3 linked regions of the Drosophila melanogaster genome follow. The protein of the gene in region 1 interacts with the protein of each later gene in a pairwise test. Each region holds a gene or a part of one and is shown on either strand. Other genes may lie near its edges.

Region 1 (5,669 bases):
AAATCCATCTTTGTATTTTTTATTTTGGAGTTTTCTTGTTTGCCATTCTTCGTTTTTTCTGTTGGCTATCAGGCCGTTTGCATCGCGCCTGCGGTGTAAGAATAAATGCTTCAAGTAACAACTTCGTAAAGAGCTGAATTATGAGCTTAGCTGCGACTTAAAACTGCTTTTTTAGCCATCAATCTGCCGTCCTTAGTCCTCGAAACTTTGGGCGAGCCTATAATTTGGTCAAATATCTGGGGTCTGATTAATGCAGGCGGCTGGTTTTTTGTACCACAATGTTGCTGGCCTGGGCGCCGAGAAATCTATTAAACTACGCTTTTAAATCAGAACCAAATAAAATAAAAAACGCAGCTGAAAAAAAGGTTGCCTTTCTTTAGATTCTTTAGGAAAGGTGAAAGTTCTTCCGGAGCTGAACGTTAAGCCTTGCCTACAGAGTCTCGCAAAAGAAAATAATGGTATTCCAGAACCCATTTTCATGATTCGAAACAATTGCATTGAGTTGTCAAGTGTCAGCGTTGACATTGAAAGAAAAGATCCCCTATCCCTTATCACTTCCTTTGGAGCATCCAGCGATCCTAAGGACAATGAGGTCCTTTGTCTGTGATGCCCTTTAATGTGTCAAAATATAGTCTATAGTCGCATTCTCCCATGCGTTTGTTTTTCTAATGCAACGTGATTTATTGTCTGGCCAGTGGAAGAGGTTTATTCCAACGGACTGACATCTCAACGGTGCGTGGGAGTGAAGAACTTAGTTATTGTTTGGGGTAAGGTGTTTGCATTTAACTTTTTCAGAAGTGTAAAAAGTGGGTAAAATACTTTTTTGTAAGGCCGTACATTATAGGGAATACTAGGAACTATAGTTAAGCTGAGCAAATTCAAAAGAAAAAGTCTTAAAAGTGTTGATCGGGTTAAAACTACCTCACTTTATATATTTAAGTAGTAATGTATACATAAATACGAACTCCTCTTATATTGAATAAATTGTAAATTGCTTTTTCGACACTTTTCCTTTTTTAAGTTCAATATCTGATCTGAATTTCAAAGTCGTAATTGTAAAACTAGTAACCTTTTAAACTAGTAACCTCGTGGCACGTGTCACAGGTGTCATCGTCTTACCTGCGATAATTTGACATTCTTAGAAACTACCTGAAGAAATAGGAAACTACTGGTCTAAAACCAAATACTGATCTATGTTTTGCGTTATCTGTAATTCGTATTAATGATTTTTGGATATAAGAGTGATTTTGTAAAACCAATGCAAAGCAACCTTAATTGTACATAACGGCTGCACATGGTCCCATCGGCACTGCAAGGCAATGCAAGTAGTACCCGAATGTTTTACAAACCTGATCAATAGATGGATCCCCTTTGAGAAAAGAACTTAAATATGATTTTTCGTTTAATTTTTTCATTTTATTTTTCCACCAAAAACTAATTAACATAAAATTGTATTAGCAAAAAAATATGTTTTCGTTTCCATGCTATAGTTATTTCATAAATATATAAATTTGAAACTGGTCTCGTGGTTCTTAACAATGTAAAAAAATAGCTTAAAGTAAGAAAAAAAAATTGGGGGTATGTTGTTTTTGTATTAGTGTTATTTACAATTTGAGGCACTTGGTTCAACTCAACATTGACTAGAAGAAAATAGGGCGTGGTGGTAAATTTTGGGGATTAAGTCACTGCTCCTGCCATAGAGAGATGTAGTCCAAAATCTCCTCGTCGTCGGGGGTGCAGTCCTCCTCGTCTAATTGAAAATGTTCGTACGGTTCAAATTTTAGCTGAAGTTGGGAGTGCGTGTGTAATTCGTTGTCCAGATGATCCAGACGATCCAGGTGGGTGGATATTTGTTGGGGAACTCCTTCGTAGGTGCCTGAATCAAAGGACATGCTGGAGTTGAATGATGATGTTGGCGAGTGGCAGGTTTGCTGGTTTTTGCTGGTGGATACGCATCCTGCATCTCCACCTGGTACGGATGTGCCCACCAAGTTGGTATTTAATGAGAGCGCTGTCAGCGGTTGGTGATTGAACTGCTGCCTCTGTAGCTGCTGCTGTTGTTGCAGAGGACTGACAGAGATCGTGTTTTGATAGTAGGTATTATGCCCTGAGGAACTGCAAGTACTGCTGCTCGAACTGTGACTGCTGGACTCATCCAAACAAAGTTGAAGCTGGGTGACTGCATTGTTGGCACCAATATTGCTGCCCCCATTTAGGTCATCCACCAGATCCTGAAGCCTCCGGATGTACTCGACGGCAATGCGCAGTGTGTCTACTTTGGAGATCTTTTTGTGAGGTCCTCGACCACCACCCTTTGTCAAATCCGTGATTATGGATTGTGGTATATGTTGCCGCAACCTGGCGAAGCTGTTGTTCACCTGCTTTACACGATTTCGTTCTCTAGCATTGCGCCTTTGGACCGACTGGGATTGGTCTACATTATATGGAGCCGGCGAGGAACCAGGCGATAGAGATGATACTGATTCAGAGCATCTGGTCAGTGCCATACCCCTTGGTGTATACTTGCGAGTCTTAATTGGCATTGTGCCAGCGGGTTGATTTTGATTGCCACCGGGAATTAATGGACTAGGGGCTGGCATTATGTGCTGATAACGAAAGATCTTCGTTGCCGAATTGATGGTCGTTGGAAACGTTTCGTTGGTGGACAGCACACTCGATGACATGGTAGTGCTTTTCGTTGTATTATTATTATTTTTCATTAACACACTCGGAGCTTTCTTTAACTTTCCGGATAACGATCAACAGAAAAAAATAAATGAACAGAGTACAATACTTGAACTTGATCGTTTGACACCTTACACAAGAATGAGTCCCTTCGTCCTAAACCCTCGCGTTATGTACCCTTTATGCAACTCTCTGCACAACACTCAGGCAGAGAAACGGGCGAGAGAATCGGAGAGAAAGAGAGAGAGAGAGTGACGGCAAGAGCTACCTGCACAGGTAGGGAACTCGAAGTGAGTGAGCCACAGGTAGTCTCTCTCTCTTTCTCTGTCTCAGGTACTCGAGTATCCCACAGGAAAACTGTTCTCACTCGACAGTCCAAAAGAAACACTCAAATTTTAAACTCAAAATATCAACTCGAAATATCGAAAAACGATCAAGGTATCTGAGTGAGGGCTCTTTTTGCTACGGCACGCCAGCAATTTGATTTCTGTGTTAATTAACTTAGCAAAAGTCGCGATCGCCAATTTTATGTGCAGCTCACGCACGCTTCTATTCATTAGCGCCGGACGGATCCAAGGGATCGACAGAAGATCCTGGGATCCTCCTTATTAGACATTCGGAGTACGCTCCCTAAAGGTGTTCAAACAATTTCACTTATTTCTCCAATTAAATTATCAAAAGGATCACAATTTTTTGTTAAGTAAATCAAAGGGATGTGACACAAGTTCTAGAAGGAAGTTTGCAGTGAAAACTGCGGTTCTTTGTTTGTGGCTACTTGTGTTTTTTCTAGAACTACTGGGATGTTGCTTTAAATATATTAATTTGTTTGGGAATAATTTAGTTCTGGGTTTGATTAAATGTTCACACATTTGACTTTTAACGGTGTATACTTGTTATTTGTTCTATTACATAATGCGGTCTAAGGTAAAGAAATACTAGACATACATGAAGTTTCATACATCTTCTTTGAAATAATAAATTGATTATTTCAGACTGTTGTAACTTGCCATTGGCCACTGTGTCGTGCTAAACGGCGACTGTAAATTGTAACTTCCGCTCTGTTCACAAAAATCGGTTCATTTTGTCACGATCATCAATCGATGAGCGAGTGAAAAGATGCCAAATCGGCGACCAGGTGTAATATTTTTATTGTCCTCAACTCGTTACCCTCGTTTGCTTCTGCCAGCATTTTTCTTTTGCCAAATCATCAGCAATAGCACTTCTTCACTTCTATTTGGCAAATTTTAGATCCCCGGATCCCAAAATCAAAAACCGAATCCGAAACCAAAACCAAAGCGAAAACCGAAATCCTGATAACAAAAAAACCTTTTCAACCATGACCAGCAAACGGCGCTTCTCTGTGTTGTTCCTATAAATAAAATCCTTTCACCATTTCCAATACCTTTTTTGCATGCTGAACTTCGCTTGGAGTCTCCACTCTTTAGTTTTTGCATTGTAACGGAGGGATCGGTAGTTGGTTTCCATTATTTTACCATCATTAACACTATCATTGTTCTTGAGTGTTGCAGAAATTTTGGCAGCACAATGTTCTATTTAAATTTTCGCATTTTCCAAAATTCCATTGAAGCATTTTAATAAATGGTTGGGAGAAATGCCGGTGACATGCCTAGAATAGGGTTGAAGTCGTCATTAGAAACTCCACTCAGTGAACTGTGTGATCTATGGTGTATGCGGACATTTAACTGAAGTGGAATGCATATAATGCATATACGCGATCCTTTTTTCCTTGAAGCGGAGAGTCATAAGCAAGGTTGGTATAATCGCGTGTTCGGTACAATTGATTAATCATAGGTCCAATTCCGGTCACCGCTTGCATGTAAATGCCACTCATACCTTGAACAAGCATTGGATATTACCTTCAAAATTATAGTACCTAGTGTAGGAATCTTTTAATTTTGAATGATTTAAATTTTATATTTCATAAATGCTTCATTTCCTTTAGTATATAATATTGTTAATTTAACTCTATCTTTGTGGAAGTCTTTTATATATTTTCGGAAACTTAATAATGTTTTTTTTATTATTTCGAAAGACTTGTTCTTCAGGAAAACCATCAGAAAGCAAGTTAAGTAACCTTTCGATGTTGTCCCGACAACCAGTAAACATTTTTTTCGGACTACCTTGTTTATATCCTTTTTCCAGACGCAACGCTTGGAGGATTTAAATGCGTAATTACTTTGATATGAAGCATAGTTCCGGACCGCGAAAACGGGAAATGGAAAGGACTCAAAAGTGTAAGCGAGATGAAGAGCGGGGCCCTTGCGATAATTGGGTAGGAGCAGGATGGAACGAGGCAGGATATATAACCTACCCATTATATGGGTATATATGGGTATATATATATATATATATATATATCCTAATCGGTGGAGCGACGCGTGCGTTTTTCCAACGAAACTTGAAATGCAAAAATGAATGTTGAATCTTAATTTAAACGAGTTTTCGTAGCCAGGACCTGCAGAAGAGAGCAGGAGATCGGCGAAAAAAGAAAAAGTGAAAAAGAGTGAGGGATACAAGTATATGTATACTTGCATATAGATATTTCTGTTGTCGCGTTCATTTCTACACGTAAAAATATTATTTAATAGGTTGTATATAAAATTATTATAAGTGCATTACAAGAGTATATAGTGAAATTTCTGTTATTTAAATATTTATATTTTAAGTAAATGTTTTTGACCATTTTTATTATCAAAAGTTTTAATATAAATCTAAGTGACGCTCGTGGTTTAATTTTTGCGTTTTACTGTTGATGAAGCGTAGATGTATCTCTCCCTCTTTATTTAGCTCAGTCATTTTCGTAGTTAATAATTTAATTAAATGCAGGAGCATGCGCAGGAGTCGCACCCTCCTTGCCCTTAAGACTCGTTGGATATCTGGACCATGGCGACGCGTGGCAGGTGTATTTAGTCGAACGAATTGGATCGCGGAGGAAAGAACTCTGAAAAGTATAGAAGAACAAA
Region 2 (5,149 bases), on another chromosome or scaffold:
TTCTCCACGTCCTGGCGAGTATAAAAGGACCCTGGCTCGGAGGATCAGGCATCATTCGAGCTCAACGCTTCGTACAGTACACATCTCAGCTACACAGCAGCTAAACACAAAATTCCAAAACACATCATCATGTGCCAGAACAAGATCAACACCAACAACACCATGACCATCAAATCGAACAAGAAGCTGTCCTACAGCGTGAAGAAACTGCTGCAGAAGATCTTCAAGCAGCAACAGCGCGTCGAGGAGGAGCAGAACCTCAAGAACGCCCTCAAGGCCAACTCTTTGGAGTCTCTGGAATCCATGGAAAACAGCCGCAACGCCGATCTGGAATCCGCCTCCATCTGCGCCTCTCTGGAGTCCTGCGAGAACGAGGCCAACGAGCGTCTCTCCCAGTCCTGCGAAATTGAGGACTACGACTTCGAGCAACTGCCCACCGTTCCCGTTCACTTCGTCCGCACCGCTCACGGCACATTCTTCTGGACCGCCGTCTCCGATTTGCCAGCCGACAACGACCTCGTCGAGCCCCTCTACTGCAGCACCTCCAACGCCATCGCTATCCCCCAGGATCGTTGGGTTCAGGCCTAAAAAATATCAGCGTCCTGCAACCTGCATCCATCATCCGGCAACTATGTCTTCCATTGGATCTCCAGCTTTAATCAACGTCTTCCGTTAATTTTTGAAACCATTCCACAAAAATTAACACGCAAGCCGATCAACTCAACTGAAGAGCTTTACAAAAATTGTGATACATTTTACTTAACAAACACAAAAAAATCAAAATATATATACAATTTAAATGAAATCAACCACTGTTTTTTTTACTTTTAATCATTGATAAATCGTATGAAATGGGCCTTCTCTTAAATCACACATTTGGAAATTGGTAATCTTTACCAAAAATTGTGTTACATTTCACCCAAAAAAAAAATAATTGAATAGGAATCTAAATTCTTTGTTTCCCCCTTATTGTTCCAACAATTTTCCGTTTACAAATCAACACAGAAAATAAATGGGGAGCGAAGTCCTTTCTTAATTGGCATGACTCATTTGAAAAACGAGCGGACCCTAATCCGATTCGATCCTGAACCTTTTTTGGTCTTATTGTTGATCAATTTACCTGCCAGCAGGTAGTGCATATTGACGGTTGTTGTTTGGCCTGTTGATTTGGACCACAATGCCAACCAGTTATCGGGCAGGTAGAGAGGATCTGTTGATTGCCGATCAGATTGGTGGTAAGAACAGGCTCCAATTAGATGATCTGCTTATGGGAATGAATCAGGGTCGAGTCGAAAATGTGTTGCATACATTTGAGGTGATGTTCAATTAAAGGTAATTTATTGGGGCAGTAAACAACATTGGCGGACTGGGACAAGAATGAACAGTATTCCGTTAGGTTTGCATAATATCGTTCAGTTTGTTTATATTTATTAATATAACAAAATAAATATTTTATAAAATTTTGAAATCCCGCAAAAGAAAAACATTGTGTTTTCAATTTAAATCATTTATTTTATTTGGGTAGTGTATTTTTGATTATTCTTTCTCAACTAATCATAAATTAACATTTATAAATTATTTAAAGCTTAATATATGCTAAACAATAAAGAGAGCGCAACGAGATATTAAACTTAGGGAACTTTTGGAGTAGGAAAATAGCGCACTCGAATATATATTCACTGATTGATTGATCAACGTACTTTAGTTATATCACAGTTGAAATTAAACAATTAATTTACAAATTACCATTATCGGAACTAAAACTAAAAGTATTTCAAAACCATTCAGAAATCGATTAGACCTCAATTAACTTAGGTTGATATGATTTACTTTGGAAGACAACGGATCTTGTTGCAGAACGGTCAATAGCCATTTTTTTGGGTTGCGATTATAATATTAGGGATAAGATCCATATTGGGCACGCCCAATTACCAGGGCCTCCAGACGGGCTCAGAGGCGCCGGACTCCTGCGAGCTAACCGACGCCGTCTCGGATAACGCATTGCCATCGACGGATGTCACATCGATCAGTTCGTCCTTGCTGGTCAGGAAGGAGCTGTAACTAATGGCGGCAGCGGCGGCTGCCGGTCCATATCCTCCCAGCAGCGGGAAGGCTAGGCGGCCTGATGATTGCGGTATTTGCTGCTGCTGGTGTTGTTGCTGTTGCTGCTGCTGCTGGAGCAACTGCGTCTGCAGCTCAATTAGTCGCGTCGATAGGAATTTCATTATCTTGCGCCCAATCTCATCGGTTTGCTGTGTCTGCAGCAGGACCTGGGTAATCTGATCGGCAGCATGCACATAGCCGGAGCGAAAGGACTCCACGTGGGCGGTACTGGTTGAGGTGGGTGGGCTGCCAACACCAGCCACTACTCCCTGCAGCGAAAGACCACCCCGCTGCTTGAGTTTCCTCATGTGATCCACGGTCAACTCCAGGATATCCGCCTTCTCCAGCCGGGTGACGTGCTCGCCCTCCTGCTGCAGGCACTCCACCATCAGATCCTTGAGATCGTCCAGACACTTGTTGATCCTGGCTCGCCGTTTGCGCTCCAGCAGCGGCTTCATCACCTTGCGGTACTGATACGTCTTGGACATCTCCATGACCATGATCGATTGGGTTGTTTTATGTTGTGTATTTTAAGGATTGTTCTTTTGTATTTAGTCTCTCAACTGCACATTATCACTACTGATTTTGGTTGGTTTCATAGATTGGTTACTTTTTGACGAGTTTGTTGCGCGTGCGTTGCGCGTTCCACCGATTGCGGTGCGTTCGAGTGGCGGCACTTTTACGAAATGAGTGGCAAACTAGTTCCCAGCCCTACTTTTATATGACAGCCACGCTCTCCCGGCAAACGGGGATCAGGCTCTCCCGGCCACAAAGCTCCCGCATGATCACTCACACACGCTCCCAGGCACTCGGGCCCAAGATCGAGTTCCACTTCGGTTCTTTTCGGTCGCGGATCGGTAGCGGCGCTCGGCAGCGGCACAAAGAGAGGCTACTGTAGGCCATCGATGATGGGGGTTGTACCGTCTGCAGGGGGTACAGTGGGACCATCACCATGGAACTCTTTACCTTCTTAATTATGCTTATTATAAAAAATAAGAAATAATCCATTTTAGCAATGCGAATATAATATCAATATTTTTCATTTCCAATAGTGTTAAATTTGTGTTCTTTATATTTTGCTACAACTATTTTTTATATGACTCTCAAAAGTATGCAACATAATTGTTCAACCAAAAGGACGATTTAAAAATTTGCTAAATTTTAAGACCTGAAAGAAAGCAATTTCAAAAAATATTAATCACTTACAAAGTTAATAAAACTGCAATTATTTTCGTAAAATCTGCTTATTGAAAGTAATACTATTAGTCCAAAATTAGTATTATTAACCGAAACTAGTCGACTTCGAACCAAGGTGCATGCAATGGGAGCGAGCGAGAGCGTGCCCCGCCGCAGATACAAATGTATCTGTATCTGCAGCTTTGGTGCTCTGGCGCGCGTCGTCTTCAATTGATTGCATGGCCAGAGGGAAACTGAGCAGTCGGCAGTCGACAGTCGGCTTTCGGATTGGATCTCATTCTCGGCGACTGCGCGTGTCTCTCAGGCCGCTCCACCCCGCCCTCCATCCCCCCTCATCCATGTCATACTTATTGTCAATGATGACAGTGCTCGGCTCCCATTCGCTGTCGAAGTCCGCTGCTCCGTACCGCTCACACCAACAATGAGAATGAGACACGAGGGAGCCTACGAGGCAGTAGCCTATGTGATTGTGGGTCCCATGGCTCAGTGGATGGGGATGGGTGTTTGTGTGTGTGTGCGGTGTGCCTACTTTACGAGACCGTGGGAAACAGATTTGTCGTGTGTTTCCCACACGTTGGACGGATGGCTGGATTGTGATGCGATCCGATGGATTGCTGAAATGTTGTTGCTGTTGCTGCTGGTTGATTTCAAGCGGGTTGACTGTCAGCCGCCAATGGGGGGCAGTGGGCGAACTGGTGAGGGATGGCTGGGTGGAGGGGCAGCCTTAACTCGCGCAATTATGTCGCATGCTTGGCTGATGATGATGACTGCGACAACTGCACGTGGACAAAATGTGCGGTCTTTTTGGGAGTTTAAAGTAGATTTGAAACAATTTCAATAACAGCAACTATGTTAATTACCAATAAATATAGATCACCCCATTTCGGAAGAATGGAAAATATATATATTTTGATATTTTACTTATAACCGAATTCAAATGTAATCAGTTTTTTTTTTTAAGTTTTCAAATATTTCTCACAGTGCACAACCACCACTATGGCTGGGGCTGTGGGTTGACTTTTCGTTGAAGCGTATCGATTAAGTGTAACAGTTTCGCTATCTCGGCGCATTGGGGGTTCCAAAATGAAAGAAATAAAACTCTTTTTGCATAGTCCGATTACCAACCCTTCGGCATTTGTCGCCTTTCGTAATAAACTTTAACATCCGGTTGTCGTTCTAAGATTCGTTTTTCGCCCGTCCTCCACATATTTCTTTTAATTCGCTGATCTCAGGGCTACTGGTCAGCACTGAGTGTATAAAATGTTGCCTGTTTTTTATGCCCCTTTTTTCACAGCTGCTGTTGGGCCGACTTTATCACCATCGCAGCAATATGACACTTGTGGTTGGACGCCTCGGAGTTATTTTTTGTGGCCGTGCTTTTTGCCTGGCTAAGCATTTCCCATGATGCTGCAGAATCGCTCTGTTTGTTTGTCTTCTGGCCATGACTTCCGTTAGCCGTTTGGCTTGACTTGGCTTGCCTTTCTGCTGACTGGAGCCATAACAATTAAGACTCTCAAGGCATTTCGATGGTTCGCCTTTCAAGATGCCTCAACTTTCAACTCGACCGGCACACGTGGCGTATGAGTAATGCGAATATGCAAAATAATCACGCAGACACCGATGGACAGAAATAGAGAGACCGCAAAACCATTTTCGACTAACCTCAATGCACACTAATTGCTTGTCATATATGCCCGTCTGTTTGTCTGCCGATGTATATATAGTTTTGCACAAAACTTGTTGCCATCGCCAGTCGTGTGAACCAAAAGCTTAAAAGCCAAATAGTTGCTGATGGGTAAAGGCAGTCTTGACGGGTCATCGATTAGCGAATTGCCAATGCTCTTGAGAG
Region 3 (4,834 bases), on another chromosome or scaffold:
GTTTGGGCTGTCTGATCTCGGGTTTTTGGGTGGTTGGCAGGGGGACGTGGGTCAAACGGGCGCAGAAAGTGTGCCCCGCGTGCCACACTCGTGGCCGAGGTTGAGTACTCAATGCCCAGGCTGAGGTGAGGTGGGCCTTGTGCCGGAATGTCTACCTATGGGATGCACATAGTTAACTTCCTGCAACCCCCTAATTGGTAATTAGTAATTTTTCACCGGTTAATTGATGTGCACTTTTCAAATATCTTGTCTTATGGTAAATGTGGTTTGTTCAATGTGTGGCTCATCCTAATAAGATTGTTAAAGTAATCATAGGATACAAAAGTTTTCTTTGAATTTAGTTAATAGGAACTTATAATGTCTGGCGTATCTTTCTAAACCCATTTTTAATTAGCTAATATTAAGTGCTTTTGGTTTCGGAATCTTGGGTTTCGCATGCAAGTATGGTGTATTAGAATTCCATTGAGTAAATTTCACTTTCGAGTTAACTTTTATAAACTCTGTTTCTATTAGGAAACTAATCGACCTCTGACATCGATGCCTACCTATGGGATTTGTGTCCCTCCCTTGCAACCGCCTAGGGTATGCTACTTCCTCACTTAATAATTGAGATGGATTTGTATATCTCCCTTACAAATCTTGAGGGTTCTTAATATTGACATTTTATGGGTGGAAAACAACGTCATTGATTATTGTAATGGGGAGGGATACTCTCACTTCTTATAGTATTTTGGGTGTCAGAGGTTAATAATGTGGTATGAATTTGGAATTGAATACACTTACCTATGATTTTACGTAATGCTATTGCAACCCTCAATATGTGATGTAATTTAATTGATTAATTGTAAAAGAATAAATTTTAAGGGATTAAATATAATAGGGTATAATGTGTGATAAGTAATCGAGACGCGTGCTGAAACTCATTTGTATGTTTCTTGACCATTCTTATTGACCTTTTATTGGTGGAAAAATTATAATGCCGCATTTAAGGTTTATAACAATGTATTGTATTGTGCTAAAGGATGTCAAATACTTTCATTTCATAGTCTGTTGACAAAATAGTTACTGAAATAGAATATAAGTAAACACATCGTGCAAATGAAAAATAACGACCATTAAAAATATGAAATTAAATTCCTTTTTATTATTAAATGCATGCTTGACAACTAAGTGCACATTAGTGGAGCATGTTTTGCTATTATGTTTAACTGTTATTGAAACTTGTTATTAATATAGCTCGTTTAGGATAATGATGGGCTTTAAGATAATGAACATAATTTATGGGAAGTCCATTTTTTTACACGTGTCCTAAATAAGCTAGTGCACACGATCGTTTTATTATATTGGACCTTAAAGTTCGCGCATACCAACATTAAATATTTTCAATGGAATCTTCTTCCTATTGGAATTTAAAGACAAATACTGAAGTTCAATATCCCCTATTGGATTGTGCTGTAAAATAGATTCCCCAAATAATAAGATTCTTGTATAATTTCATTTCATATTTTGATTTGTATTTAAGTTTTTCATTTTGTATCTTTTCATATTGTGTTCTTGAGATCTCTTAGCTGGTAAACATTTGTATATATGTAGAGTAAAAAACAGACTTCTGCTCGATTGATTTAAGACAAAAGTTAATAAAGCGTGCCCTATCACAGACTTAACTTAGAAACCTAAAACTTGGTAACGTAACAAATAAATGAGGATCATTGTAAAGCATTTTTTCTAAAGCTGCGGTTCCAATTGCGTGATTGCCCGTCGGGAATTCAGTCCTTCCAAGTAGATCTTTGTTTACCAGGGACGCCACACCTGTCCGGGGCTGCTGATCTGGAGCAGAGACTCGTTGTCGCTGGCATATCCACTGGAAACGGGACTGATGGAGGAGCAGGAGCTGGCACTGGAGTAGGTGCTGGAGCTAGAGCTGGATCCACAGACGATACTGAGTGGAGTGTTGACGGCTTGCGGTTGTTCCATGGGCTGCTCCAGTTGGTTGAGACGCATGCCCAGATGGGTCATCAGTGTGGTTCCAAAAGCCACATCCACTCGGGGAAGGGAGGCCAGGGCGCGGGACACTTCGTTGGCTGCCCGGATGTATCCAGCACGGAAACTCTGTTCGGGATTGGCCGGAACATGCTTCTTAGACTCTTTCAGCTTGCGGAGATGCTGCACGGTGACTTCCAGGATGTCGGCCTTCTCGAATTTGGCATCGCCAGTCTGAGCAACGCACTCGGCCATCAGATCCTTGAGCTCGTCCAGGCACTTGTTGATCCTGGCACGACGCTTCCGCTCCAGCAAGGGCTTCATCACCTTGCGGTACTGATAGGTTTTCGACATCTCGTATTTGGTGGCCATTGTGTGTTTGTTTTGTTTATTTGTTGCGTTTAGGTAAATGGAAGAACGACTTGTTGAAGAACTTCTTCGATCTTTCGGAGGAGGTTATCCTGAGATGTTGACTGCACGACGATTGCGTTCGAAATGTTGCATTCGTCTCCGGTTACCGCTGCTTTTATAGCTGCACGTGCCGCCGCGAGAGCGTCTCGTGCTCAGCGCACGCTGCTCGGAGAAAGAGAGAAGAGAGAGCTGCGGAGCCTCCGAAGAACCACCACCTGCGGAGCAAACTACTTTTACTCAGTCACTGGGACACGATCCTCTCGCCTGCATTTTCGGTGGTGGGTTTTTCTCCACAAACAAGTTTGGAACACACCTGCGGTAAAAATAGTATGAGAAATGTGTTTAAAGCAGCTATAGTTCTTCGAGCGAATATACAAATTTGTTGTTATATACCTAAGAAGTACGTTACGTTTTTAACAATTACTTCAAATGGGTTTCCCTTAAAGCACTTAAATGTCGTTTTATTAAACAAAAAGAAATTAACATAATGTTATACGTTTACACCTAAAAAATTAAATTAGCACACTTCTTAATAGTAGTGATTTTGAAAATATAAACATTATCTAGAACTTTAAATATGTTCTCAGTACTATTGCTATGGCCACTGGTGTTCGGTGTAAGTGAGTCTCGGCAGGGGATGAAGATGCGATAGTGCAGTGGTGGTGGTGCGACGGTGGTTGCACATGCTGCTTCTCTGTTTTCCTTTCCACTGACATTCGAATCGTGGGAAACACTTTGCCCTCAAGTTTCCCACAAGATTTTTCTCGCTCGTTGGTGTTATAAGTTATAATCGGAGGTAGCCCGTGTGCGAGTCCCGAGTCCGAGCTCCGAGTTCCGAGCCCTTATGCACATGGCACAGTGGGCCAAACCGATGAAACACATGCGGGAATTTTGAGGGTGCCTTGCTTGAATGAATTCTTCAAGGCTTTTCCAACTACGTGAAATTTAAGGTTTACGGAATTTACGCATACTGTTATCTACTTGCTAGACAAAGTTTTAGCAATTTCTGTAGGGATCGTGGGAATGCGAGTTTTGGGATGTCGGAAATGGGGTTTTCCAAGGCGAAGATGTGTGCAATTTTGGGACTCGCAGGTTTGGAAATCAGTATCTTACGGATTTTTTGTTGCCTGTTCTCAACTTGCTACGGTTAATTTGAGAACCTCTATTCAAAGTCGTGGGAATGTGAGTTTTCGAATGTGATTTTTGGGGTTTTACCAAACGGAACATGCGTGCAATTTTACGACTTGCAGGTTTTAGAGTAAGTGTTTATGGATTTCTCGATGTGTTTCTACTTGTAAAGAATTTTTACTAAACTATCTGCTATGTTGGAAAGGTACATTTGTTCCTAGAGGTTTTTCTAGGCATATATAGTCCGAGTATAGGGACTTTTGTGAAAGGTGTTTTCTACTTGCTACGGATAATTTTGTTAGCTGCGACGGTGAGTGGGAACCTGAGTCTTGAAAAACATTAAGGTTCGTGAAGGTTGCAGTTTACAGAATATCTATGTATGGGATTACTGTACCCAGATGGGTGAAATAAAGAAATATTTGGAAAAGATGTTCTTGTCAGGTTATGATGTTTAAAAAATTTCTAAAAAAAGAAACCATTTTGTAGTTTGTAGCTAAAAGCATCTAAAGATTGTGACAAGACCCTAAATTGTTTTCAACCAATTTTCGTTCCATTCGAACCACTGTAAATCTGACCGAGCTGCTAGTGCGAGTCACGGGTAGTGCTGAAAAAACTACCACCTGCCCTTTATTTTATTTAATTTTTTCTTGTCCATCGTGGGCCCTACACATATCGCCCTCTCCCTCGCTCCTGCTCTTGTCAATTATGAATGCTGAATTGTAGCTTCTGTTGAACACTTGGGCCCTGGGTTTCGTTTCGGATGGCATCGGTTGGGATCGTCCATCGCTAAGTGGCATACATATACGCGTATGGTATTCCTGCTCACGTCGGGACATCATCATCGTGGGACCCAGGTCCCAGAAAAAGGGATGATTGTTCGATGGATCGACGAGGGACATGCAAACTAAATGACTGTACGGCAAATTGACACACACTAAAGATTAAATGTATCGCATTCGTTAACTATATAAACAATATACGTGGCCGGTTTGAGGAACGCTGGCTGCGGCAGGAAGTGTGTGTGTGCAGTGCACTGCGTGCTGAGAGTGTGCTGAACAACGGGCCGTTACAATTTTTCTGGCGACTGTGAGAAAATTTCTCGAGCTGCACATGGCCAGCTCCGGGCTTTTGTTGTTGTTTTTTCCACTTTTTATTAAGTAGGGGCAACCATTTGGGCACGCATCGGGGTTGGCTTATTGTCAATGCATCGCTATAATCGCTGCTGCTGCTGGGCAACCGACGTTGCTGGCCGTGTAATTGAATATGTGTGCGCATGCTTGGCACGCCAAACGCGCGACAGACGCGGGCAGCTAAA

Evidence for each region.
Region 2: the proteins of sc (region 1) and E(spl)m3-HLH interact in a two-hybrid assay, tested with the Drosophila melanogaster proteins (2 studies listed by BioGRID).
Region 3: the proteins of sc (region 1) and E(spl)m7-HLH interact in a two-hybrid assay, tested with the Drosophila melanogaster proteins (3 studies listed by BioGRID).

Annotation. Positions count from the first base shown.
Region 1 is NC_004354.4:393,228-398,896, reverse strand, and holds sc (scute), read right to left. Parts: upstream 2,838-5,669; 5' UTR 2,721-2,837; coding exon 1,683-2,720; 3' UTR 1,400-1,682; downstream 1-1,399. UniProt on the Drosophila melanogaster protein: AS-C proteins are involved in the determination of the neuronal precursors in the peripheral nervous system and the central nervous system. Also involved in sex determination and dosage compensation.
Region 2 is NT_033777.3:26,019,474-26,024,622, reverse strand, and holds E(spl)m3-HLH (enhancer of split m3, helix-loop-helix), read right to left. Parts: upstream 2,801-5,149; 5' UTR 2,604-2,800; coding exon 1,929-2,603; 3' UTR 1,496-1,928; downstream 1-1,495. Other genes in the region: E(spl)m4-BFM (enhancer of split m4, bearded family member), read left to right, coding at 130-588.
Region 3 is NT_033777.3:26,034,681-26,039,514, reverse strand, and holds E(spl)m7-HLH (enhancer of split m7, helix-loop-helix), read right to left. Parts: upstream 2,478-4,834; 5' UTR 2,353-2,477; coding exon 1,792-2,352; 3' UTR 1,496-1,791; downstream 1-1,495. UniProt on the Drosophila melanogaster protein: Participates in the control of cell fate choice by uncommitted neuroectodermal cells in the embryo. Transcriptional repressor. Binds DNA on N-box motifs: 5'-CACNAG-3'.